Linked DNA regions of Rattus norvegicus. The protein of the gene in region 1 interacts with the protein of each later gene in a biochemical or structural test. Links are inferred from orthologs where the notes say so. Each region holds a gene or a part of one and is shown in the gene's direction. Other genes may lie near its edges. The genes, in order: Ptpn11, Erbb4, Insr, Sirpa, Kit, Cdc73 and Frs2.

What was found.
Region 2: the proteins of Ptpn11 (region 1) and Erbb4 form a complex in vitro, tested with the Homo sapiens proteins (2 studies listed by BioGRID, with this or other methods). The link is inferred for Rattus norvegicus from reciprocal best matches to the Homo sapiens genes PTPN11 and ERBB4.
Region 3: the proteins of Ptpn11 (region 1) and Insr form a complex in vitro, tested with the Homo sapiens proteins (2 studies listed by BioGRID). The link is inferred for Rattus norvegicus from reciprocal best matches to the Homo sapiens genes PTPN11 and INSR.
Region 4: the proteins of Ptpn11 (region 1) and Sirpa form a complex in vitro, tested with the Homo sapiens proteins (2 studies listed by BioGRID). The link is inferred for Rattus norvegicus from reciprocal best matches to the Homo sapiens genes PTPN11 and SIRPA.
Region 5: the proteins of Ptpn11 (region 1) and Kit form a complex in vitro, tested with the Homo sapiens proteins (3 studies listed by BioGRID and IntAct, with this or other methods). The link is inferred for Rattus norvegicus from reciprocal best matches to the Homo sapiens genes PTPN11 and KIT.
Region 6: of the proteins of Ptpn11 (region 1) and Cdc73, one has a biochemical effect on the other in vitro, tested with the Homo sapiens proteins (2 studies listed by BioGRID and IntAct). The link is inferred for Rattus norvegicus from reciprocal best matches to the Homo sapiens genes PTPN11 and CDC73.
Region 7: the proteins of Ptpn11 (region 1) and Frs2 interact in a test that uses a peptide from one of them, tested with the Homo sapiens proteins (2 studies listed by BioGRID, with this or other methods). The link is inferred for Rattus norvegicus from reciprocal best matches to the Homo sapiens genes PTPN11 and FRS2.

The regions. Positions count from the first base shown.
Region 1 is NC_086030.1:41,024,843-41,028,878, forward strand, and holds the start of Ptpn11 (tyrosine-protein phosphatase non-receptor type 11), read left to right. Parts: upstream 1-1,236; 5' UTR 1,237-1,412; coding exon 1,413-1,426; intron 1,427-4,036. UniProt on the Homo sapiens protein: Acts downstream of various receptor and cytoplasmic protein tyrosine kinases to participate in the signal transduction from the cell surface to the nucleus. Positively regulates MAPK signal transduction pathway. Dephosphorylates GAB1, ARHGAP35 and EGFR.
Region 2 is NC_086027.1:76,980,634-76,983,120, reverse strand, and holds the end of Erbb4 (receptor tyrosine-protein kinase erbB-4 precursor), read left to right. Parts: intron 1-1,441; coding exon 1,442-1,887; 3' UTR 1,888-1,987; downstream 1,988-2,487. UniProt on the Homo sapiens protein: Tyrosine-protein kinase that plays an essential role as cell surface receptor for neuregulins and EGF family members and regulates development of the heart, the central nervous system and the mammary gland, gene transcription, cell proliferation, differentiation, migration and apoptosis.
Region 3 is NC_086030.1:6,126,004-6,130,184, reverse strand, and holds the start of Insr (insulin receptor preproprotein), read left to right. Parts: upstream 1-1,381; 5' UTR 1,382-1,729; coding exon 1,730-1,829; intron 1,830-4,181. UniProt on the Homo sapiens protein: Receptor tyrosine kinase which mediates the pleiotropic actions of insulin.
Region 4 is NC_086021.1:137,287,054-137,290,553, forward strand, and holds part of Sirpa (tyrosine-protein phosphatase non-receptor type substrate 1 precursor), read left to right. Parts: intron 1-2,688; coding exon 2,689-3,048; intron 3,049-3,500. UniProt on the Homo sapiens protein: Immunoglobulin-like cell surface receptor for CD47. Acts as docking protein and induces translocation of PTPN6, PTPN11 and other binding partners from the cytosol to the plasma membrane.
Region 5 is NC_086032.1:32,912,813-32,916,312, reverse strand, and holds part of Kit (mast/stem cell growth factor receptor Kit precursor), read left to right. Parts: intron 1-1,199; coding exon 1,200-1,306; intron 1,307-1,403; coding exon 1,404-1,530; intron 1,531-1,801; coding exon 1,802-1,906; intron 1,907-2,007; coding exon 2,008-2,118; intron 2,119-3,500. UniProt on the Homo sapiens protein: Tyrosine-protein kinase that acts as a cell-surface receptor for the cytokine KITLG/SCF and plays an essential role in the regulation of cell survival and proliferation, hematopoiesis, stem cell maintenance, gametogenesis, mast cell development, migration and function, and in melanogenesis.
Region 6 is NC_086031.1:57,965,532-57,969,031, reverse strand, and holds part of Cdc73 (parafibromin), read left to right. Parts: intron 1-105; coding exon 106-184; intron 185-2,492; coding exon 2,493-2,557; intron 2,558-3,500.
Region 7 is NC_086025.1:54,598,657-54,602,156, reverse strand, and holds part of Frs2 (fibroblast growth factor receptor substrate 2), read left to right. Parts: coding exon 1-389; 3' UTR 390-3,500. UniProt on the Homo sapiens protein: Adapter protein that links activated FGR and NGF receptors to downstream signaling pathways.

The DNA.
Region 1 (4,036 bases):
TATCTAACAGAGACCCCACCCCAACCCCCAGAGTAGTGCACTGGTACTAACAAATTTGGACATTCAAAAGAGAAGTTATGGAGTGTTTCTTTGAAGTGGAAAAGGTCAAATTTCTTAATTTAGAAAAAGAATCGGGGGTTGGGGATTTAGCTCAGTGGTAGAGCGCTTGCCTAGGAAGCACAAGGCCCTGGGTTCGGTCCCCAGCTCCGAAAAAAAGAACCAAAAAAAAAAAAAAAAAAAAAAAAGAACCAAAAAAAAAAAAAAAAGAAAAAGAATCACTTGTCAGGATTGCTAATCCCAATATGGGTGAAACGGCAAAAAGAGAAGAAAACCGTGCTCATCTTACTTCAAGCTGTCGAAGTATGGCCATGGCATATAGGTTTCTGTTCTCAAAAACAAACAACTCCCCCTCCCCACCCCCCAAAAAAAATCAACGGGAGGCTGGTTAGATGGCTCTGCAGTAAAGAACGCTGTTTTATCAGAGGTCGTGGGTTTTGCTCCTAGCACCCACATGGTGGCTCACTGCCATGTAACTCTATCAGGGACTGTTGTCCTCTTCAGACCTCCTTGGGCATCAGACACACACACACAGTTACACACATACTTACACGCAAGGCGACTACTAATACACTAACATTAAAAAAATATAAAAAGCAATAAATCTTTTTTTTTTCTTTCTCTTTTTGACAGGGTCTCCCTACTTAGCTGTCCTGGAACTCCCAATACAGACTAGGCTGGCCTCGATCTCACAGTGATCCACCTGCCTCTGCCTCCCTAGTGCTGGGATTAAAGGGTACACCACCTTGTGAGGCAAAAGGAATAAATCATCAAACATTATCTATAAATGTGTGGGTATGTGCACGTGCCCGCGGAGGATGGCGGATCCGGTAGAACTGAAGTTACAGGAGGTTGTGGGCTGCCCCATACAGGTGCTGGGAACCGAACTCGGGTTCCCCCATCCTCCGCTTATTTGTTTGCTTTTCACGTGTGCACCCGCACTGGATGCGTAGTGTGTACTCGCACTAATGTGCGGCGTCCCAGATGAAGAATCTCCCTGGCGTTCAAGTCTGTAAACCGCACAGATTAGGAGGAGGAGGCCCCCCTCCCCAACCTCCAGCACTGGTCAGGGCCCTGCAAACCGGAAGCAGAAAGTGGCTGTGGCGGCGGGCGTGATGACTTCACGTCGGCGCCGGCGGCAAGGGGCGGGGACGAGGGCGGAGCGAGCCGGGCGGCGGGGCGGCCGCGCAGTGTCCGGGATCCAGGCCTGCCAGGGGTTGTGCGCGCGGCCGGCCGGCTCTGCCCGCTCCCGTGTCGGCTCCCGAGCGGGGCCTCACTCGGCCCCCTCCATGTGACGGCGCCTCGTGGAGCCTGAGTGAGCAGCGGGTCCGTGCGGAGCCGGAGGCGGGAGGAACATGACATCCCGGAGGTGAGCCGCCCGCAGGAGCCGGGCCGCGGCCTGGGTCCCCGCCGCTTCTGTGTTGCGCGGCCGCTGGGGGTTACACTCGGACTCCCCACTGGCGCGGCGTCCCCGCCGCCCCACCGCCCCGCCCGCGGGTCCCCATTCATTTCCTGCCGCCCCGAGTTCCTGCTCCCGCGACTCGGGATGCCCGTGGGGACACCCGCGGCCCGGCCGGCCGTCGCATTCCTGACCCATTGCCTCATGAGCGTCGCCTCCTGGGGATTCCGAAATAACCCCGCGCGCTCGGGGAGGCGCCCGGGCCACCGCGGGGCCTTCACACGGGACCCTTTCAGGTGCCCCCTTTTCGCCTCCTCACCCTCGCCCCAAGTGCCAGAAGTGGGAAAACTGAATCTGTCTGCAGCCTCTGGGAGTGTTCCCAACCCCACTGTGATCTTTGCTTTGAAAGGTGGGAGGGAAGGGAACTGTATCTGGTCGTGGAATTGTTCCTTCGGGTAACGAGTGCGTTCCCGTCTTACGAATGTGGAAACTGAGGCTCGGAAGTAAAGTGCTCGTCACAGGATAGGATTGGAAGCTGAGATCAGGAGGAGGATTAGTGAGTTTCAACTTCAGAGACTCAATTATTGACATTGACTTCGCTCTTACTAGAAGCCAGCTTAACACGTACCGCAGTGGTACGAGGTGGGTGGTGGTCTCCCTTTCTAAACATGGACCAAATTGAGTTTTCCAGAATTAAGTACATTGTGGCCTTTTACCTTGGTAAGAGGTGGAAAGAGAATCTCTCATTGTGTTGCCCAGGTTAGCCTCCAACTTACATTCCCGTTACCTCTCAACCTTGTAAGTGCTGGGGTTATACAGTCTGGATCACTATAAAAGCTTGTTTTATTTAGTTTTAAAATCAGCTTTATTGAGATAAGTTGCTTCTGATCCGGCAGACAACATGATAAACCTTGACATCTGGGAGATGTCACCACTCCTGGTAAGGTTTTCTCAGCTCTCTCTTACCAGTCCTCTGCTCTCCTTCGACCACTGTTTGGTTGTTACTTTTCTAGAATTTTGTATTAATGACATTAGACAACTATGGACTGTTTTTTTTTGGGGGGGGTGTCCTGATTTTTATTATTGAAAGTTTTTTTTAACATGTATTTATTCATTGTGTGTGGACCCAAGGCATGGTATGCATTTGTAGGTCGGAAATTGATACATGGAGATTGGCTCTCACTACCACACAGGTTCCAGGGATTGAACTCAGGTTGTCAGGCTTGGCGACACGTGCCGCCACACCCCGGCGTAGCGTACAGCGTCCACGTTCACAGATCCATCCATATTGCTAGAGTTCTATTACTCGGCTGCTGCCAATTGTATAGCGTTCCCATTGTAGGGCTGTTTCCTTTTTTACCCTTTCTGACAGACCTTTGGCTGTCTCTAGAATTTGTCACTCACATGTGATTCTGAGAATGCTCCTGCAAAGGCCTCAGTATGGTCTCACCTCTTCGGTGGCCATCTACAAGTTGAATGGCTGAATTTACTGTGTACAGGCACTTGCAGCCTGCCCACAGAAGGGCTGTCACTGTTTACTTTCCAGTCTTACTCTGTGAGGGCTGCATACAGCTTGTCTGTATCTTTGAGTTCTGATTTCCTAGTTTTATAAAGATCTGTTTTGATTTTGCATGTATAGGTAGCTTGCAAGCATGTGAATGCATGTGTATGCCTCATTCCTGGGGTCAGTAATTGATTACTGTGTGAAGTGTGGGTTCCTGCTCTCTATTCCATGGGGCTCTCCAGTTGTCCCAGCACAGCTGCTGGGGAACCTCTCCACAGGTAGAGTCTGCTCCATTGTTGAAGGATACTTGTCCTTCATGTGAGTTTGTTTCTTGACTCGGTTCTCTTCCATGGATTTTTCTGTATCTTCACGTCAGTCCCGAATGGTCTTGGTTCTTTCTTTCTTTTTTTTTTTTTTATGTTTTTTTGTTTAATATTGTGTGTGCACGCACAGAGGTCCGAGGAATGTGTCAGAGCCCTTGGACTTGTAGTTAAAGGTGGTTTTAAGTTGCCTCACACGAGTGCTGGGAATGAAACTTGGGTCCTCTGCAAGAGCAGCAACTGTTTATAACTAGTACACGTGTTTTGTTTTCTCTCCTCTCCATGATCTCAGTTATTGACTCTTTCTCCCTCTTTCTTTCTCTCTCTCTCTCTCTCTCTCTCTCTCTCTCTCTCTCTGTGTGTGTGTGTGTGTGTGTTCGTGTTCGTGTTCACATGTGGAAGTCAGAAAACAATTGCATCCTCGGGATGGAACTCAGGTTGTTAGCAGTGTACGTTTTCACACTGAGCTATTGTGCTGGCCTGAGGAGCTAAGAAGGCTCTGCGTTCTGACGGGGGATTCAGGGAAGGTCTCTTTGAGGAAGTGATCATAGGAACTGACACTTGGATGGCGAACACCATATTGATGTTTGTTTTACTTAATCATCACGGTAAAGCTGGACAGGGTCTCATCATGTCATACCAGTTGGCCTAGAACTTTCTACGCAGAACAGGCTGACCTTGAGTGCTCGGAGCCACCTGCCTCTGCTTTGGCGGTGCCACTGTCTCTAGTCCTAAAACAGTTCATTTTGGTTAGCA
Region 2 (2,487 bases), on another chromosome or scaffold:
TCCTGAAGTGATGTATTAGACAAGGAAGCCTGAGATATGGCAACCTAACGCCATCTTTAATGTAGTAGTTGAATGAGTTATAATATTCTAGGACTTCAGAACCATTGCTCTGTTGAAGTTGGCATGGAGGTTGGAAAGACAGGTGTTACTGGCAAAGGGCCAAAATTTTTTATGCCAATGATAAACGAGCTGATTTATTTAAACCATGCAATTTCACTCCCCTAGCTTAGGGTTGGGGTGTGAATGTTGTAGACTGCTTTCTTAGCACGCAAGAGAACTCAGATTTAGATCCCAGTATTTTACAAATATCTATAAGAACTAAGTTTACCATAGGAAATTGTGATTTGTGTGTGTGTGTGTGTGATACTTTGAAAATAATATTTGATTCTGTATGCACTTACCCATACCACAATCTTGAAGATTGTTTGTTAGTTTGTGAGTTAATAAACACAGAAAAGTTAAACACCCAGGTTAAATAACATTTCAGTTTTAAAATCAAACCCAAAAATTCTCTTTCCTTCTAATATATCCATACAACAAGCGGAGAAGAGAAATAATGGTTATTAAATGTAGGAATCGGGATGATATCCATCAGTGTCATTAGAAGCCATATATGGTGCATTTAGAAGAGAACTGTGTGAAACCCTATGAAATCATCATTATATGACTTTGTTCACTGTTTATAAAACAGAAGCGACTGATCCCTAAATGACCTAACATCGTATAATGAGGGTTTTGATGACTATATCGCAGAATAGATGGTAGACAGATACATATAGATAGACAGATAGATGATAGCTTAGATAAATGATAGATGGATAATAAACAGAAATGAAAATTTCTGTCTAGAGGGTATTTTGGGGAAATTTTTAGTTTGTTTTTATATGTATACGTGCTTATATCTGTGCATTGGTGTGTGTGTCTCTTTGTGTTCATAACTGTGTTTATGTCACATGTGTGCTGTTATTCTTGGAGGCCAGAAGAGAGCATCAGATCCCCTGGAGCTAGAGTTACAGGTTGTCATCAGTGGTCTTGTATTGATGCTGGGAACCAAACTCGGGCCGGCTGTAAAGTCCGCAAGCCTTTAACCACTTTCTCCACTAGCAGAACAAGTATACCATCCTAACAGCCCCAATAAAAGGAAGCACTTAGGTGCATTTAGAAGAGAAGAATATTTTAAAATACAGGGATTCTGCCCTTAACTTTTCTGTCACTATTTTGTTTCATTTGAGCCTACTCTCTTTCCACATTCCGATAAAATCTTCAGGTTTTTGTTTTGTTTTGCTTGTTTGTTTTGCTTTGTTTCATTTTGTCTGAGAATTTATGAAAACAAATTCATAGCTCCCTTGTTCTAAAGAAACTGACCATTGCTGTTAACTTTAACCTGATTATGGTTTTCCAGAAGTAGATGTCTGAACGTAGTATCTTTGTATTATTTCAGAATATCTGAATCCTGTGGAAGAGAACCCTTTTGTGTCCCGGAGGAAGAATGGAGACCTTCAAGCTTTAGATAATCCAGAGTATCACAGCGCTTCCAGCGGTCCCCCCAAGGCAGAGGATGAGTACGTGAATGAGCCCCTTTATCTCAACACCTTCACCAACGCCTTGGGAAATGCAGAGTACATGAAAAACAGCTTACTGTCTGTGCCAGAGAAAGCCAAGAAAGCATTTGACAACCCCGACTACTGGAACCACAGCCTGCCACCCCGGAGCACTCTTCAGCACCCAGACTACCTGCAGGAATACAGCACAAAATATTTTTATAAACAGAATGGACGGATCCGCCCTATTGTGGCAGAGAATCCTGAGTACCTCTCAGAGTTCTCGCTGAAGCCAGGCACTATGCTGCCCCCTCCGCCCTACAGACACCGGAATACTGTGGTGTGAGCTCAGCTAGAGTGTTAGGTGGAGAAACACACACCCGCTCCATTTCCCTTCTCCCTCCTCTTTCTCTGGCAGTCTTCCTTCTTCTCCCAAGGCCAGTAGTTTTGACACTTCCGAGTGGAAGCCGTAGAGACGCAATGATAGTTCCGTGCTTACCTAACTTGAATATTAGAAGGAAAGACTGAAAGAGAAAGACAGAGGGGCACACACTGTTTCTTCATTTCTTCATATGGGTTGGTTAACAGAGTGTCTGTCAGAGCTAGAGAAGGTCTAGGAAGTGTAAGGCAATACCAATACCGCCTGCTGTCAAAGAGCCCCATCTTTGTTCTCTTTGCACTCTGCACTCTCTCCCTCCTTCTCTCCCTGTCCCCATCTCCCTTTAATCTATCAATGCTGGTGATGATCGGAAGCCCAGACTCTGTTCTAATCTGTAGCCATAGTCTTGTGCATATTCAAGCATCCCTGAAATCATTCTAAGGCTTCCATTAGAACAAAAAGATAAGCAGTTGGACACCATTTGATAGTAACTGAGATTGAGAAGCCAATTTCTTTCTCCAATAGTTTCTTTCTTGGCAAGTAAGAATGGCCAATCCAGCTTTTGTG
Region 3 (4,181 bases), about 35 Mb from region 1:
TGTGTGTTGAAAATGGAATATGTCTGCCCTGATCCTATATGAAGTTTCTACCGTTGTTCTAGACGCCTTGTTATGTTCTTCTCGGAGTCATTTCTTTATTGATTTCTGCTGGAATTCAGCGCTGGGTGGAGGGGCTCAGGCCAGGGAGCACAGGCTGCCTGCGTTGTGGACACGTGGCTCTGGCCTGGAGGCTGGTGCAGCCACGCTGCTGGGCGGGAGCTCACTGGGGAGGGAACTTGTTGGGCTCCCACTAGCTCCTAGACAGAGCAAGGGTTGGGAGAATCCAGTAAGGCATTAGGAGCAGAGGTTGTAAAGCGAAACAGAATCAAGAGTAAAGAATTAAACTGAATTCCCCACGGGAGTCAAAAAGTAGTAAAAAGAGTAAAGAAAGTCAAGGTCTGCTTGGTCGAATCTGGCATCTGGGGGCATATTGGCGCTCCCACGTTGTGATCAGAGACTCGAGGCTATAGAGCTGTTTGGGATGTTCATGCCCTGAGGAATCTGAGGGGGGCATTTCCAGGCTTTTAAATTGTTATTTCGGGACCATTTGGGGTGTCCGAACCAGGAGGAGATCTAGAGTGAGCTCCAGACCTTTAAATTGGAACCTCGGTGTTATTTGTGTTTGCTGCAGTCTGGAGGTGACCTGGGGGCGTCCCTAGGCTTTTACATTGGAACCTCAGGCCTGTTAGTGGTTTTCGCGTTAGGAGGGGATCTGGGGCTCCCTAGGCTTTAATATATTTGGTTGTGAGCCTAGCCTTTAACGGCTGAGCCATCTCTCCAGCCCTCCCTAGGCTTTTAAATAGGAACCTTGGAACTCTTTGGGGGCAGCTCCCGACGTCTGACAGGGGAGTCTCAGAGTTGTTTGGGTGTTTATGTCAGACTGGTATCTGAGAACACTTACAAGCTTTTTTTTTTTTTTTTTTTGGTTCTTTTTTTCGGAGCTGGGGACCGAACCCAGCACTTACAAGCTTTTAAATCGTAACCTTTCTAAATCGGCAGTTCGGGGTGTGTGGATTGGAAGAGTCTGGGGTGCACGCCGGGCCTCTGAAGTTGGGGGCTCCACAGGAGGAGTCGAAGAGGCGACTGGGCGAGCGGGCAAAGGGGCGAGAAGGCGTGGCATTGCCAGCTCTGGCCACGCCTCCCAGAGCTCCGCTGGCTTGTCTCTCCCTACCCCACCCCCCCCCCCCCCAGCGGGCCTCACTTGTGCGCGCAGTCCCTTCCCTGCCTTAATCCGCGCCACCTTTTCCCTTGGCCCGCGCGGGCCCAGCTGACGGGCCGCGTTGTTTACTGGCCGGAGTCGAGCCCTAGCTCCCGCCGCCGCCACCAGCCCAGGTGCCCTCCCGTGCGCGCGTCCCTCTGTCTCAGACTCCACACAACGCGACCCACCCAGAGCTGCGCGGAGAGGAGAAACGGGAGACCCGGCCAGGGGACGCACCTTGGTGAGCTCTGGACTCTGCGATTGCGGACACAGGACCGGGCCTGGGTGACCCGGGGTTGTAGTCTGCGGGCCGCGCCACAGTGTTGCTTGCAGCCGAGGCCTGTGTGCTCTTCCCAGGACTGTCCCCAGGGCCCTCTAGGCTGGAGATCTGCGGCCCGTAAGCCACCGGCGTGGAAGAGAAGGACGTGCGGCCCCTAGCGCCTGCCTCTCCAGCGACCTTCTCGCGGAGTATGTCCCCAGTGGGCCGGCGTGGCGTGCTCTGATCGCCGGGGTCCCAGCGCTCCTACTGCTATGGGCTCCGGGAGAGGATGTGAGACGACGGCGGTGCCGTTGCTGATGGCCGTGGCCGCGTTGCTGGTGGGCACAGCCGGCCACCTGTACCCTGGAGAGGGTAAGTCTGGCACACGGGGCGATCACAGTGTGTCAGGGACACTCCTCCCACCGCCCCAGCTAACCTAGAGCCCTCACCCTAAGGAGTGAGGGTCGAGGACACCCCCTCTCCACTGCCACAGCCCACATAGAGAACTCTCCCTTTGGGCTGAGTAATGGACACCCTTCCCATCGCTCCATACAACTTAAGAGCACCAACTCCCCCATAAAGGACTCAGGGCACCCATTTCACCACCCCAGCAAGATAGTCCTAAGGACTGAGAGTTATGGACATTTCTCTTCCTCGGCCAACCTAGACCTCCCTCTCCAAGGACTTAGGTTGAGGACTCCCCTAGTGTCCTTGTGTCTATGAAGAGTCCCCTCCCTAGTGAGTGATTACCTTTCCCCTGGGGAAGGGGGAAAAGTGGGCTTGGTGGCCCTGGTCCTGCGTGAAGCCGGCTGACCTTGGCCTTTGCCCGCTGGGTTTGTGGCTCTGTACCCCGCGTATGCCCATCTCGGGTCTGAGGAACCTTGCCCCAGTGCCCGCCCAGCCTTCCGCTGTCTGTCCCCAGTGCACCTCTCAGTCGTGTCTGTTCTTTTCTCTAAACCCAAATCTGCCCTCCGAGGCTCTTTGGGGTTGCCTTAAGTAAGTATGGTTACTGGGGTGCAACAGATTCAGACACCTGAGCAGTTTAAACGCAAAGTCCGGGGTATCCTCATCGATGGAGAAGCGACCCTTTGTGTATAATAAGTTCATGGCTGCCGTGTTTATAAGTTTCTACTTTCAGATGTCTAGAGGCAAAGTCTACATACCTTTGGCCCCACAGCAATCATAGTAACAGTAGGGGTAGCTTTCAGGATGGTTATAATTAGAATGATTATGAGTCTCCAGGCTGGTTTGCCCTAGAACCTCCCAGTGTTCCCCTGAGGCCAAAAGTGTTGCACACCCATTTCACAGAGGGCTAAACTGAGGTTCAGTTAGCGTGCTAAACTCACTCGTTCAGAGGCTGGTCTTATACTTCTGTGCTTGGTTATGGCCAAGGCAGGAGGATAGCCAGTTGCTTGTGGCAAGCCCAGCTATTGATTGAGTTTGAGGCCAGCCTGGGCTAGGTTAGGCACTGTTTGAAAAAAAACAAAAAAAAAAAAAAAAAAAACAAAAAAAATGCAGTGACAAATGCCTTTTGAGTTACTGGTTCAGCTTTCTCTGAAAATGGAAATTAATTACCAGGAGGAAGGGGTCCAGGAGAGAAGGAATTGCAGCTCCTTTGTGAATGAGGGAGGTGTGCGTATTAGGGGGGAGACTGCAGGATTCTGGAACAGATTGGGTTGAGCTTATGGAGTGGATCTGTTAACCTGGTAATGAGGTCCCCAGCATCTGATATACAGAAGGTGCTCAATGAAGGATGGCCATTGATTTGGGGTGTGTGTGTGTGTGTGTGTGTGTGTGTGTGTGTGTGTGTGTGTGTTTGCAGACGCCCTAGGTTGACTTTGGGTGTTTGTCTCTGTCACTCTCGACCTTGTGTTTTGAGACAGGGTCTCTCAATGAACCTAGAGTTTGCTGATTTGACTGTACTGTGTAGTCGGTGAGCCCCAGCCCTCCCGTACCTCCTTTTGTCACTAGGGTTATAGATGTGTCCTGAAGTGCTGGCTTTTATGTGTGTGTGTGGTTGGATCTGAACTCAGGTTCCGATGTTTGGGCAGCAAGGGTTTTCACTTAATGAGCCTTCTCCCCAGTCCATGGTTTGGGTTCTCATTAAGGAAATCTAAGAATTGTTAACATCTACACTGCTCCCTGGGGCTCTTTGGGATTGCCTTAGGGAAGTAGGGGTATGTTGTATGTGTGGCTGTGCACTCGGGCACCTAGTGTCGTCCCTTGAGTTCTGTTTTTACATTCTTTTGGTAATTAATTGTTCGTCTGTGCCTGGATTTCCTGAGTTCAGAAAACAGAGCTTCTGTGGCTTTGTATACCTGCAGGGTTCGCGAGGACGGGGCCTGGTGTTTGTTCCTCACTGATGTTAGAACCTCAGCAGTGCTGGACACGTAGTAGGTGCACATAAATGTTTGTTCCCTACTGGTACACAGAGGACTTGTGCAGTGAGCCTACTGGGTGTATGGCCAGAGTGTAGTGCTCCCCGTGTGCGCACGAAGTCCCTGGATTTCATCCCTAAACTCACAGAAACCGTGTGTCTGCCTGTCATCATAGCAGTCTGAAGATATAGGCAGGTCTATCAGGGGTTCAAGGTCACCCTGGGCTCCGTAGTGGGTTTGAGGCCAGCCTGGGCTACAGGAGACCCAAACGACAATAAATATGATCTCGTGAGTCCTTCCCGCACCTCTTCAGAGCCTCTGGCTTTTGCATGGGAAGAAAGGACAG
Region 4 (3,500 bases), on another chromosome or scaffold:
CTGCCTGGGGTGTGATTACAGGCCTCTGTCTGCAGCACAAGAATAGCCCTGCTCCAACTTGTCGGAGCCCAATTCCCAAGTTCCCCCTGAGCACGGCTCCCCGTCAGCTGCTGACTCACAGTTGTGTGCGCTGTTGAGGACGGGGTAATAATAACGGCGCACCAGCTCCTGGGTAGCCACGAATGTTAGTGCCACTGAACGGATGAAGGAAAGAAGAGACTTGGGGTGTTGTCAGGGCCATAGAGCAAATAAAACCTGTTCTTTCTCACTTCATCAGTATGTTCAGCATATATGTGGTTTGGGGACAGGGTCTTCCTAGCTGGGCTGGAAATCACAGAGATCCACTTGCCTCTTGAGCCCATTTCCATCGGGGACACAGTATATACCAGGCAGAAGGCAAGAAACAGTTCATAGTGGATCTACTTATCCTAATGGTGGGGAAAATAGCAGTTGACAGCAAACTGGGTATATAAAGAATACAGCAATGTGATGGTAGGTTTTAGAACTAGAATTGCCATAAAGTATACAGCAGGTGCTTATGTATAGCTTTGGAACAATCCTCATGACAAAGCAGAGTGTACACACCAGTTGCCTGCTGGTGAATCCATTTATGAATACTGAGCTGGCAAAGGGGCCCTGTTCTCGGCCCGGCCTGCGCACGTGGTGGTTCCAGTTCAACCGGTCTTGCGTGGTTAGTTGTACACCCACTGGGAAATATCCATGGCTCCCTGCTATTGGCAGGAGCTGGTGACGTCACTGATGCTCTTGGGAGGCTTCGTGTCTGTCAAGCCTGTTCCCTCCTTGCGTCTTGTCACTTGCCAGGCCACTGGCCCTACCCCTTCTAGGCTGGCTGATGCTGGCTGAGCCCCTGTTTCCACAGGCCTCACTTCTTTCCCTGTACTGTGAGAATCAGGCCGTTCCCAGGCTCTTACTTGCGGTATCTGCTCACATCTGCCATGAAAACCTGACTGGGGAAAGAGGTGAGGCAGGACAGTGAGCAACTGATGACAGGCCCATCCCAGGGCTCTGGGCCCGCAGTGACAGCAGACCTCTCCTGCCTTAGACCCTCTCTCCTTGATAGTACACAACACCAGGGGTTGGAGGATGGGCAAACACACAGTGCCTCTTTTACCCTGCCAACACAAAAGGGGCTACCCGAGGATCCTCCTATAGCCATCTAGTAGACAGAGTCACATTAGAAGCCGGTGGAGAGTCCAGCTGGGGACCAAGATCACCTGACTCGCTGTTGCAGTCTGCCACCCTTGCTGTCCTCATCCTCCCTCTCCTGTCCTCCCCTCTGGACCACTGCGTCTCTAATGTCTATGTGTCTGAATGCTCAGTGTCTACATTCATACGTTTAGCAAACCATTGTGTTTGGATCGAAAGGACTTCATCCATTGAGTTATCCCCTAGATGCTACTTTTTAGAAATAACTTATTTTAATTGTGTATATGTGTAAGTAAGTGTTGTATATGCATGTGTGTGTGTGTGTGTGTGTGTGTGTGTGTGTGTGTGTGTGTGTGTGTGTGTGTGCACGCACTTGGACTTACAGACCACCTGATGTAAGTGCTGGGTATTGAACGTGGGTCCTCAGGAAGATCAGCCGGTGCTCTTAACCGCTGAGCCATCCAGACCAGACGCTGCTTTTTAACTCACCAGCCTCAGCTTGTTTGTTCCTATTAGAAGTACGTCCAGATGGGAGTCCTGCAAAACCTTCCACAGAGACAGAGGCTAAGGGCCATCAAAACTGTTCAAGCAGAAGCCATATCCACATCCCCATGGTACTTGGCAGAGGGCGAGCACCTGGGCCTTCTCTGTTGACCTAATGACGACTCCACATGATTCAGCCACACGCTACTGAGCCACACCTAGGACCCAGGTTCTCAGCTCTCCTACCACTGAGACTGCTGTGTGCTCAGGACTCCATCTCCAGTACAGAATCTACCTCTTTGAAAAGTACCACACATACTGGGCTCTCCTACTTCTGGGTTTGTGCCCTCTGTGGGGGAATTCAGGCTCCCATTTTTGTCTCAGGGTTTCTATTCCTGCACAAAACATCATGACCAAGAAGTAAGTTGGGGAGGGAAGGGTTTATTCAGCTTACACTTCCACATTACTGTTCATCACCAAAGGAAGTCAGGACTGGAACTCACACAGGGCAGGAAGCAGGAGCTGATGCAGAGGCCACGGAGGGTGCTGCTTCCTGGATGGCTTCCCCTGGCTTGCTCAGCCTGCTCTCTTATAGAACCCAGTACTACCAGCCCAGGGATGGCACCACCCATGATCAGTAATTGAGAAAATGCCTTACAGATGGGTCTCATGGAGGCCTTTCCTCAAGGGAGGCGCCTTTCTCTGTATTAACTACAGCTGTGTCAAGTTGATACACAAAACCAGCCAGTACACATTTTCACTGACAAATTCAGATTTGAATTTCAGAGCCCAGCTCAGATAGGACATTTCCCCCCAAAGGGCTTGGGCACTCTACTACACCAAACCATGTGACTTAGCCCTCTGTGCCCCAGTTTTCTCACCACAGTCTTGATTTACAGGTTCATGTGGGGGATAACACATGCCGAACATTGTGCTGAACTCAATACCACTGTGTGTGATCAATCAGTGAAAACCATTGATAAACTTGAGCTTGTAGGATCCCTTAAGGTGAATCATGGCTGCCATCTTTCTCTCCAGGAGCCAGCGGGAAAGAACTGAAGGTGACTCAGGCTGACAAATCAGTGTCTGTTGCTGCTGGAGATTCGGCCACTCTGAACTGCACTGTGTCCTCCCTGACGCCTGTGGGACCCATTAAGTGGTTCAAAGGAGAAGGGCAAAATCGGAGCCCGATCTACAGTTTCATAGGAGGAGAACACTTTCCTCGAATTACAAATGTTTCAGATGCTACTAAGAGAAACAATATGGACTTTAGCATCTGTATCAGTAATGTCACCCCAGAAGATGCTGGCACCTACTACTGTGTGAAGTTCCAGAAAGGAATAGTAGAGCCTGACACAGAAATTAAATCTGGAGGGGGAACAACGCTCTATGTACTCGGTAAGTAGGCTGTGCCTTCCTCATCCCCTCAGGTGTAGCATTAGGTCAGAGAGTAGCATCCCGGTGAGTGTGGCTCACAAGGGCACAATCTGATCTCAACCTTCAGCAGGTCAGGGACGTCAAGGCCAATCGTTAGCTCCAGGTTCCAGTGCTAGCAAGTAAGAGGGCATTAGCATCCCTCATCTGCCCGCCCCACGGCCCTCTCTTCCTTGCACACGGTTCAAGTACCATGAGTACCAGAATGCAGATCCCAGCAGGCTCCTTGCTGCCCAGGTATTAGGCATCCCCACAGGTGAGCCCAGGACCTAGGAAGCACTGAACCTCTAGGAGATGCAGCCTCTCCACACATCACTTTCACAGAGATTCAGGAAGCCCCTTCCATTCAGAACCCGAGGCCTGTCAGTGACAGAAAGCTCTCCCACATGTCAGTCAGGACACAAAGGACCCCTCCA
Region 5 (3,500 bases), on another chromosome or scaffold:
TCGGTCCCCAGCTCTGAAAAAAAGAACCAAAAAAAAAAAAAAAAAAAGAAATTGTTTAATTCAAAGGGGAGCCGGCTCAGCAGTTAAGAGCACTAACTGCTCTTCCAGAGGTTCCAAGTTCAGTTCCCAGCAACCACAGGGTGGCTCACAGTCATCTATAGTGTTTGAAGACAGCTACACATGTATAATAAAAAAAAAATAAATAAAAAGTAAATAGAAATGTTAAATTCAATTTAAAATTTCAGTTATTTAAGATGCGTTACATTTTGTTAAACATATGTATTGAAATGTTCACAATATCCTTTACATGATCTTGTCAGCAAATGACAAGATCCCATTTTATTTGTATGTATGTATGTATGTATGTATGTATGTATGTATGTGTGTGTGTATGTGTGTATGTGCTTACCCATCTGCATCATCAGACTCATACAGAGCTCACTGCATGCTATGTAGATGGCCTCTGTCACCTAGGCTCTTTATCTAGCCACTGGGTGACTAGCAGGCCAGATGACCTTTGTAGGCATTGGTGGATGGGTATATCTGAGACCCTTGAGTTTCTTTAGTGCCCAGTTTCTGTGGAATTTAGCACTGGCCATAGGACTCATGCCAAAAGGCTGTGTATCTTCAGCTTTCGGATGAGGAGGGGCTGAATCATAGCACCCTTCTCTGTTGCTGATTTTCCCAGACAGAGCAATGAAAAGGATGCTTCAAAAATGTCTTCCCTCGATGTGGGAAGACATTTACATTCAGTGTAGAAAATTTAGAAAATGTAAGAGAGCAGAAAGAAGCAAATGTAAACCACCCAGAAAGGAGGTCCACTCAGATGCTGCTTTTCATTGAAAACAGCATAACATCATGTGCGTTACTTCAGAAATGTCAGTTTCTCTGGCCTCTGGTTTCAACTTACATCTCTGAAGAGGTCTGTGCAGCTAGTAAGGGTGCGGTTATGGGCATCGTGATGTTCCAAAACACATACCCAGGTTCCAGCCCTAGCACCAGGAAGGAAGGAAGGAAGGGAGGGAGGGAGGGAGGGAGGGAGGGAGGAAGGAAGGAAGGAAGGAGAGGGAGAGACTTTGTATTTGTACAGCAAGAGAAAGATGCATTCCCTGCATGCGCCATGAGGGAAATGGTTTAGTTTGGGACAGGTGGTGGCCAGGCCGTCGTCAGCTCACAATCACAATTCTCTCCCCTTGCAGAGCAAATCCAGCCCCACACCCTGTTCACGCCGCTGCTCATTGGCTTCGTGGTCACAGCCGGCTTGATGGGGATCATTGTGATGGTTCTTGCCTACAAATATTTGCAGGTGAGCGTAGAATTGTTCTCTCCCTGGGCCGCTGCTGCTGACAGGGGAGGTGCTGATCATTCAATGGTGACACATCTCTCTTTCCTTTCTCCTCCAGAAACCCATGTATGAAGTACAATGGAAGGTTGTCGAGGAGATAAATGGGAACAATTATGTTTACATAGACCCAACGCAGCTTCCTTATGACCACAAATGGGAGTTTCCCAGAAACAGGCTGAGTTTTGGTCAGTAGGAAGCAGGTGCTTTCCACGCTGCCCTTTTGTGTACACGTAACTGTGATTTTTAGGGAACCCGCAGTGGCTTCCTTGCCTTGTTTCACCTAAAACAAGAAGTGCTTTTCTGTCAAACTGCACAGAAGTTGGCAGGGTTAGCGAAAAGAATCCTGTGGAGAGGCAGCTCCGGTCACACGTGTTTTCGATTGCCTTGTTGATTTGGGAACCTTGTGAACACTGTTGTTTGTTCTTTCCGCTGACCCTGCCTTCTCCCTTCCTAAAGGAAAGACCTTGGGAGCTGGTGCCTTTGGGAAGGTAGTTGAGGCCACTGCCTATGGCTTAATTAAGTCGGATGCCGCCATGACGGTTGCCGTGAAGATGCTCAAACGTAAGTGTCTCCGGGGTGCTTACTTCTGTACCGACCACCAGTTTGTCTAATAGTCCCCCCCCCTTTTTTTTTTTGCTAAAATACACCGTTTCCCGTTTTAGCAAGTGCCCATTTAACGGAAAGGGAGGCCCTAATGTCAGAACTGAAGGTCCTGAGCTACCTGGGTAATCACATGAATATCGTCAACCTCCTTGGAGCGTGTACCGTGGGAGGTGAGTCTTGGGTCTGCAGCGCCTGTTGCCCTCTGTCCGCCTCTCAAGTATGATCCAGGCAGTGCTTAATTGTAAACTATTTGAGAGAGATTTTTCAACCGAGCGCTTTGTTCTGTTTCACTGGGTTTGGTTTTCCACGGTGTTCCTAAGAATGTAGATTTTTATCATTCCTGAGTGTTGGGAGCCTTCAGACTCCTGTCCTCTTGTTAGTTTGAGATGTGGGCCGTGGCTGTGTTAGAACCACTCACTGCAGCCATATTTGGTGCCCATTACTCAGATTCTTTTATCTCCCCCAACCCCCGCTATAGTCCAAAGGACATCTATTGCACCCTCAGTAGAATGTTTTAAACTCCCACAAACTTTTGGGTGCATACAGGATTTCTCTTTATGGGGAGCCATTCACACACACACACCCCTTCCTCATTAGATATTGTGTGTGTGTGTGTGTGTGTGTGTGTGTGTGTTGAATTATAATACTCTCCCCCTTAAACAGTGTAAGCACATAGAGATGCAATTTTTGGTTCTATCATCCCGAGGGCCGGGGTAGCTTTATTTATTGCTGTGCTATAATCTGTCACTTGGGAGTTAATGTTGATTTGCCGTCTATAACTGAGAGGGGCCCCGAGCCTCCCGGTTTTCAAATGCACCACAAGGTAGAACAAGCTTTTCCCTTCCATTAAAAACAAGCTTCCAATTGTTGCCCCTAAGTCAGCGTTCCCATCGAGGGTGTCTTGACATTTCCAGAAGGCCTCTTGTTTGTCCTACAGGAAACAAAGGAGTGTGAGGTGAGCTGTTGCTGTCTGTCTAGGGAGGACCACGGGACAGTAGGCAGCTCTAGACAGTGTCTCCAGACAGCCCCTGTAACTGGTGCTTCTACACACCATGAGTTGTTCACGAGGCAGTTTCTACTCAATTAGTGGCCTGTTAAAACTGCGCTCTTTAAACATTCCCAAGCAACAACTCTGTTTTCAAGTAGTAATGCTCAGGAAACCGGGTCATTTCAGGCTTTTCGCCCACTCTCCACTGTGGGCTTGGCTGCTCTGGGGCTACTTCCTACCAGGCTGCAGCATGAGTCCTTCATTTTCATAGTAACATTACAGCAAGGAGGCAGAACCATGCCTGCCGTACACAGAAGTGAATCAAAGGATCCCTGTAGGATACTTGATCATAGTAGAGCCTTCGAAAGCAGTCACTTGTGGTTGCCAAGCCAGCAGTCATGCCTGGCCCCGAATGTTCATGTCATTTAGACGCTCAGGTAGAAAGGGGCTTGCTTGTCCTGTGTCACTCTCCGCCATGTTGCCTTTTGTGATAAGCGATGCTAATAGATAGAATTATGTTGGGACTAAGAAGGCTTAGCCACTGAAGATGGATATAATGGCCAC
Region 6 (3,500 bases), on another chromosome or scaffold:
GCCGTATTGATAATTACAGTTATTTTATAAGTGCCCTATCAGTTTTTCATTGTGAGTGTTAAATAAGTAATACTTAAAGATATTAACTAGCAACTTTTTTTCTAGGATCCTACATTGCGTACAAAACAGCCTATTCCAGCTGCCTACAACAGATATGACCAAGAAAGATTCAAAGGCAAAGAAGGTAAGTTGCTTATCCTGTGTCTTCTAATCATGGTCATGATGAACTTTAGTGGTAGTATAGCGTGATATTTAAGAATAACGCTTGGGGTTGGGGATTTAGCTCAGTGGTAGAGCGCTTGCGCAAGACCCTGGGTTCGGTCCCCAGCTCCGAAAAAAAAAAAAAAAAAAAAAAGAAAAAAAAAAAAAAAGAAAAGAATAACGCTTGTCAGGGCTGGGGACATGGCTCAACAGTTAAGATCTCAACCATCTGTAATGGAATCACATGCCCTCTTCTGGTGTGTCTGAAGTGTACTCATATTTTAAAAAAAAGAATAAGGCTTGTTAATTAACTTCCGTAGTACAAGTCTAGTTCAGTCATCTCTTTTTGTAATAAAAGCTTTTTTTGTTATTGTTGCTTAAATCTAGCCATATTTATTCATTTATGTGTTATCTATAGCTGACAGCTCTGATGAGTAGTTTTGACAGAGGTCATTCTGCAATACCTAAAAATAGTATTTGGACTTTACAAGAACAAAGTTGGTTAACCACTTGTTGTATCTTTGATTCTGGATCCAGGTGGTTTGTGTGTGTCTCAGTTAATTTTTGTGTAGATTTTATTGTTATTTGGACTGTGTTCTCTTATTTCACATCTCTAATTAAATATTTATTAATAGTATTATCAACTTATTTCATAGTTACTTTGGGGATAAACCTGGTGCTAAAGATGAAGTTCCTAGTGTAATATTTGATAATATAATAAACTACTCACAAATGTTTGCTATTATTGATGCTAGTTTTGAATATAAAAAATTTGGGGATGTAAAATGTCATGTGTTAATTTCCCTAACTATGAATGTACATTCATAGTTATGCTCCAAGCATAGACTTGCAGCAAAGTGTGAGAGCTTATTTTGTGACAGCCTGATTGACACTGTAGCTAATATAATTGGGAGCCACTTCTGATAAGCAGAATGTTAGTGAGGTAAACTTTCACTAGTTTCACTTGAGAACTTCACTCATCTTGACTGCCCTTAGGAAGATTTGAGATAGAAACAACTGAACATTTGCTATCTTTTTCTGTATTATCTGAAGTCTCTGGGCAACTTTTTAAAAAGGATTGTGTGTGCTGACTTTATTTACCAGATAAAGGTGCCACAGAAAGATAGGGATCCATCTTTTATTCACTTTGGTGTTTTGGAAGGAATGAATTACATAAAGCTCTTCATAGCATATCTAATTTTATAAAGCCCAACTCTAGCTTCTCCAAGTATACACATAGATTCTTCTTGTTTCTACACCACAACTGCAAAATCTTACAGATGACAGACACAAAGGCATATGGACTCTAGTTTGCACAAATACTTGCTGTATGAGCTTTCATAAGAAGATTAGAACATATACTCTATGAAAACAATTTTTCAATTAAATTTCTTTCACTGATAGTCACGTAACCTTGATGGAATTTAAGGAGTGCATATTTTATTTCAATAACATACATACCGTATGTTTATATCATTCTTTCACCTGGTAAAATATTGTCAAACACCCAAATTGACTGCCATTAGTTAATTGACCATAACAAGAGTGAAAGCTAAAGTGGTATGTATGTATAGAGTTAAATGTTTAATTTTAGGGGAGAGAGGGAGAGGGGGAAGGAGCGAGGAAGGAGACAGCATGTTGCACTTGCGTACCTAAAAACTCTTGTTAGAGCACCAGTTTCTACTCAGTGTATAACAATATATCCCTTAGATTATACTTTGGAACCAAAGTTTTTGTAATTTAGGAATTTCCTATTTTATATACTTTTAGTATATAAACCATTTAGTAGCTAGTAGTAAAAATAAGGCTATTCTGTTTTTTTGTTTAGTATTTAATTTTTTTATTTCATTTTTATGTATTTGGATGTTTTGCTTATATGTGTCTGTGCACCACATATGTGCCTGGTGTTCATGGAGCCCAAGAGGGAATCAGATTCCCTGACACTGAAGTTAAAGTAGTTGTGGGCTGATAGTGGGGGCTGGGAATTTTACCTGTTTGTTTTTTTTCCAAACATAGCTACTGCTCATAACTGCTGAGCCTTCTTTCTAGTTCTTTGGTGTGACTTTTTAAAAACAAAATTTGAAAGGTAATCTGAACCAGATTCTATGCAATAAGTGTTTTGGCATTTATTGAATATATTTTTGCAAGTGTCTTAGGATTTTTAATCCTTTGAAATATTTGATAAACTGTATAGTATATTCAAGGCTTTATTATGTTAGTTGTAATGTAAATTGTGATTGAAATTTTAATCTTGAAATACATAAATCATAGTAGATTCTTTGTCTTTGTAGAAACGGAAGGTTTTAAGATCGATACTATGGGTACCTACCATGGCATGACGCTGAAATCTGTCACGGTAAGTTGTTATGACTGCAGGGCTTGTTGGTTCCAGGTGTTTTATGTGAGTAGCAGATGGTAAATTTTTATTCTCTAGCGTTTTTTCCTTGAAATATTTATTTTTAATGACCATTGTAGTGTTAATAGATTTGTGTGATAGATATGTTATTCATTAGTGTTATGCTTTTTTTTTCTTTCTAATCTGAGCAGAATTTATATGTATTTTGACTAATTGCAACTATGATTACATTATGCTGTGTCATTGGGATGTTGTTAAAGATTATACTGGCTATTTTTTAAAAATCTAATGTCTTATGTTCTTTAAAATGTAATTCACTTTGGAAAAATTAGAATGGCACTAGATGTTCAGACTGCTCAATGACATGGGATCAGTCTCCAGATTAGCCAAATTAAATTAGTAAATAGAGAGTAGTACTTGAGGGAATGCTTATTAAAACTCTTGATGGAACCAAATGTTTATATATTCATGAATGATTCAAAGACTTTTAGCTAGCTCATTTGTTTTTTTCTTTTGTTTTCCCTCTTTTTTTTCTTTTCAATCCTTTCTCCTTCTCTCTTTCCGTCTCCTTTCTCACTCTTGTGTCTGATGAGTCCCCCTACACTGTCTTTATGACTCTTTCTATATTGTTTTCATTTGGACTTAAAGAAGGCTTGAACTCCAACTTCCTGAGTAGCTGGAACAGTAGTAGCTATTCAGAAATAGCTTGGCCAACTTCTCCTTAACACTTCTAATTATTATGTAGTAAATGATAGTATTTGATGATGTAAGTCGGGTATACTATTAATGTCATTTTGTATTTTTATATCCTGATGCATAGCCCTTATACTTTAAAAATAATCTATGCATATGCATTAAGTGTTTATGTACTTTAGAACTAAGAACATTACTTAGTTTTGTCCTTGCTTGTGAATTGTCAGAGACTTATAGATGTCACATGACA
Region 7 (3,500 bases), on another chromosome or scaffold:
ATGGCTACCATAATAATCTAGATCCAATGCATAACTATGTTAATACAGAGAATGTAACAGTGCCGGCAAGTGCTCACAAAATAGACTGTTCAAGGCGTAGGGATTGCACACCCACAGTCTTTAACTTTGATATCAGGCGCCCTAGTTTAGAACACAGGCAACTCAATTATATACAGGTGGACTTGGAAGGGGGCAGTGACTCTGACAACCCTCAGACCCCAAAAACACCGACCACTCCCCTCCCACAGACCCCCACCCGGCGCACAGAGCTGTATGCCGTGATAGACATTGAGAGAACTGCTGCTATGTCCAACTTGCAGAAAGCGCTGCCTCGGGATGACGGCACGTCCAGGAAGACTAGACACAATAGTACTGACCTGCCCATGTGAGCCGGACACATTATGTCGGCGTCTGCACCTTCGCGAGCTTTCCACCAGGAAGAGGCAGCGCTTGTTCTCCTTTCTACACTAACTCCTTTTGTAGACTGATCTGTTTTCCCTGAGTATTTCCTGTGCATCTTTAAAGGGAATTAATGCAGAGCAGGTACTTCACTAATTCATGATGTTGTGCTCATCGCTGTACAGCAGCGTCCTCGTTTTTACAGTGCCTATTTACCATGAGAAGGGAAGGGAGTGCATACTGGCTGACGTAGACTCAGTGTTCTGGGTGTGTGCATCTTTCATGTTGAAGTTGTGGTTGCATTTGAACCTTTTATAAAGTCTCTTGACAGTGCACATCGCTAACATAACGCTAGGCCCTGAGAGGAATCCTGTAGGTCACTGTTCACAGGTTATGGTCTCCAGCATGCAAGGTGAGGATTTATTTCATCAGTTAAAGGCTTTTTGACCTGGGCCACACTTGTGTAAAAGAAACAAAGAGAGCCACACTTCCTTCTGTGCCAGTTAGTTCCTCTGTCCTCACTGTCACTAGAAAGAACCCAGTCTAGTTGTGTATCGGAAGGCAGAAGGGAGACAGCGCCGTGTTCTCGCCTCCTGGTGTCATTTGAAGGCAGATAGCATCTAACTCAGAGTTACAATGGGTTTAGGAATCAGTCTCAGGTCACTTTACCCAAAAACATTTGAAAGTCTACACCATGATCTATTGGTGTTTCTTTGTGATAGGTTATTGACACATTGTTTCTGGAGACATCTGTGCCATTGAATCCCACGAGCTTCAGTTTTAGCCCCTTCCATCTTGCAGCTGTCTTGCCTTGTTATAGAATATCTTTTAGTTACAACACAATGTTTGTGCACCATTTTGGAATGGGATTGTGTGTTTGCTCTCACTACTTAGTCTGAATTTTCAGTTATGGTCTTGAAGGTCCATTTGGAGCTGTTCTCTGACAGGGTTACCCTTGTCCAGTATTTATTCATCTGCTGTTTACTTTCCAAGTTGCTGACAAAAGCATCATTTGGATTTTGAATTTCATTTGTGTCCATGGGTAATCTCTTTAGTAGCTGAGAAGAAAAGGAAGATACTCTTAAAGGTTTGGGTCCCCACCAAGGGTCCTGTCCTCTCTGGGATACCCTGTGCAGCATGTTAGCAGGGGTTGTCCCAGCTCCACGGCCGCAGTCCCACTCTGCCGGCTCTGCTGTCCTCTCATGTGGGGCTGGGCTCTTCTTATCCATGATGTTGGCGAGCTGATAATGTTGCCAGCACAGCAGGTACAGGGAAGTCTTGAAGCAGTTCGATTATATCATAATCGTGAATGTGAAATGAATAAAGTTTATATAAACTGATGTGATCCCAGATTTTGAACTCTTGGAAATCAAGAACACTCCCAAACCACTGTATAGTAAATGGAAGGTTAGGCAGCCTTATGAAATAGTTTACTTGTTTTCTCTAAAGTTGAGGACGTTTCGTGTTATGATCTGGTTATACCAGATGTGACTGAAAAAAAGGTTTCAGTCATCCGACGTTCAGTATATTTAGGAACTCAGCACAGAACAGTGCCTGGATTAGCAGAATAGGACTGAGGCCATGAGAAGCGAATTACATGTGCTCATCTTTAGTGCCATTGGTTTATAGCATAGCAGGCGTTTCCTTTTCCTTTTCCCTCTGTGAACTAAAATGTTGACTGTTCTCTTCAAGAGAGTAGTGGCTACATGTGCTGTTTCCATGGTTAATACACTGTTCCCCACTCGTCCTTCTCCTGAGTAGTTTGTCCTTCTCCTGAGTAGTTTGCTAGTTGTGCCAAATTTCACTGGTGGTTTTGGTGGCGTGGGGTAAGGACACTGACGGGAACAGCGTACGACTTCCTCTGTAACGAGCAGCCAGACAGGAGTAACTCTCCACCTCAGAGGACTCTTATCTCTGGGCTGGATGCTCTGTTCTTCCTTTGTGCTCCTGGCTTCCCTTCCGATTGAACTTAGAGTCATAGTTTTTAGCTGACCAATACCACCATTACAACTTGTGCTTCAAGTAGTATATGGCCTAAGAGTGCAAATGGGACCGCTTCATCTGCTAAGAATTTGATTTTAGGGTACAGCATGAATATTAGGAAGAGGTAAACAGGGATGTTAATTTCTAGATGTCTTCTGGAAACCACCTTTGTTTCTGTTTAGTCAGTCATGCAGAATACCTGTATCCTTTACAGTCGTCTCACAGTGACATTGAGCTCGGCCCTGGAAGAATGTACCTGCTACTATTTGGTAAACTTTAGAGTGAGACATTTCACTGGCATGTATTTGTAGCCATATGTCTCAGATTTTCTGAAGCAAACCTAATTTTAGATAATTGGTTTTGTTGATTAGATCATGTGACCCCACTTTTTGGTTTTGGAAATAAAATCCCTGCTCCCTTTTTTCTCCCCATATAAAATCCTTTTTTAGTCCATATAGATCTTAACATTTCTTTTCCAGACCAGGGCTGGAAACTGATGGGTATCACTAGTGTTTTCTGAATGTTGTGTTTCCCAGTTTCATCTTCCTTTGAAAAGTGAAAATATGGTGCCTTTCCTCCTTTCCTCCTTCCTCCCTTCCTCCCTCTCTCCAAGAAGATTGGAAAGCCGTTCCTTTATCTCCTGCTGCTGTGGAGGTGATGAGACATGCACTTTACTCTTGAAGACTCAGCAAATGCTAAGCTTTTCACTTCTCAGTATCTCCACAATAGGCTGCATTTCCGACTTAGGGCATTTGCCAGGCAATCTTTGCCATTACAGATATTAATGCTGCCCCCTCCACTGTGCACTGTGTTATAAGTCAAACGTGTTTGTTTATGCTCCCACTGCACCCACCCGAATCTGTGGCACAGCGTATAAAATGTACCTCACTAAAGTTCTGTTAAAAATGGGACAGGGGCCTTACGTTCTCATAACTCCCAGCAATGTGCCACCATGTATTTGCCTCAAGGCAGAGGTTTAACGAGCTAACAAGTACTTCCCAGCTCCCATGTGCTGTCTTCTACCCACAATACCCAAGTGTTTGTGCAATGTGTAGTGCGTATGTATAAATATATACATATTATATATATATATTCTTTAGAGACACCATTCAGAAGTA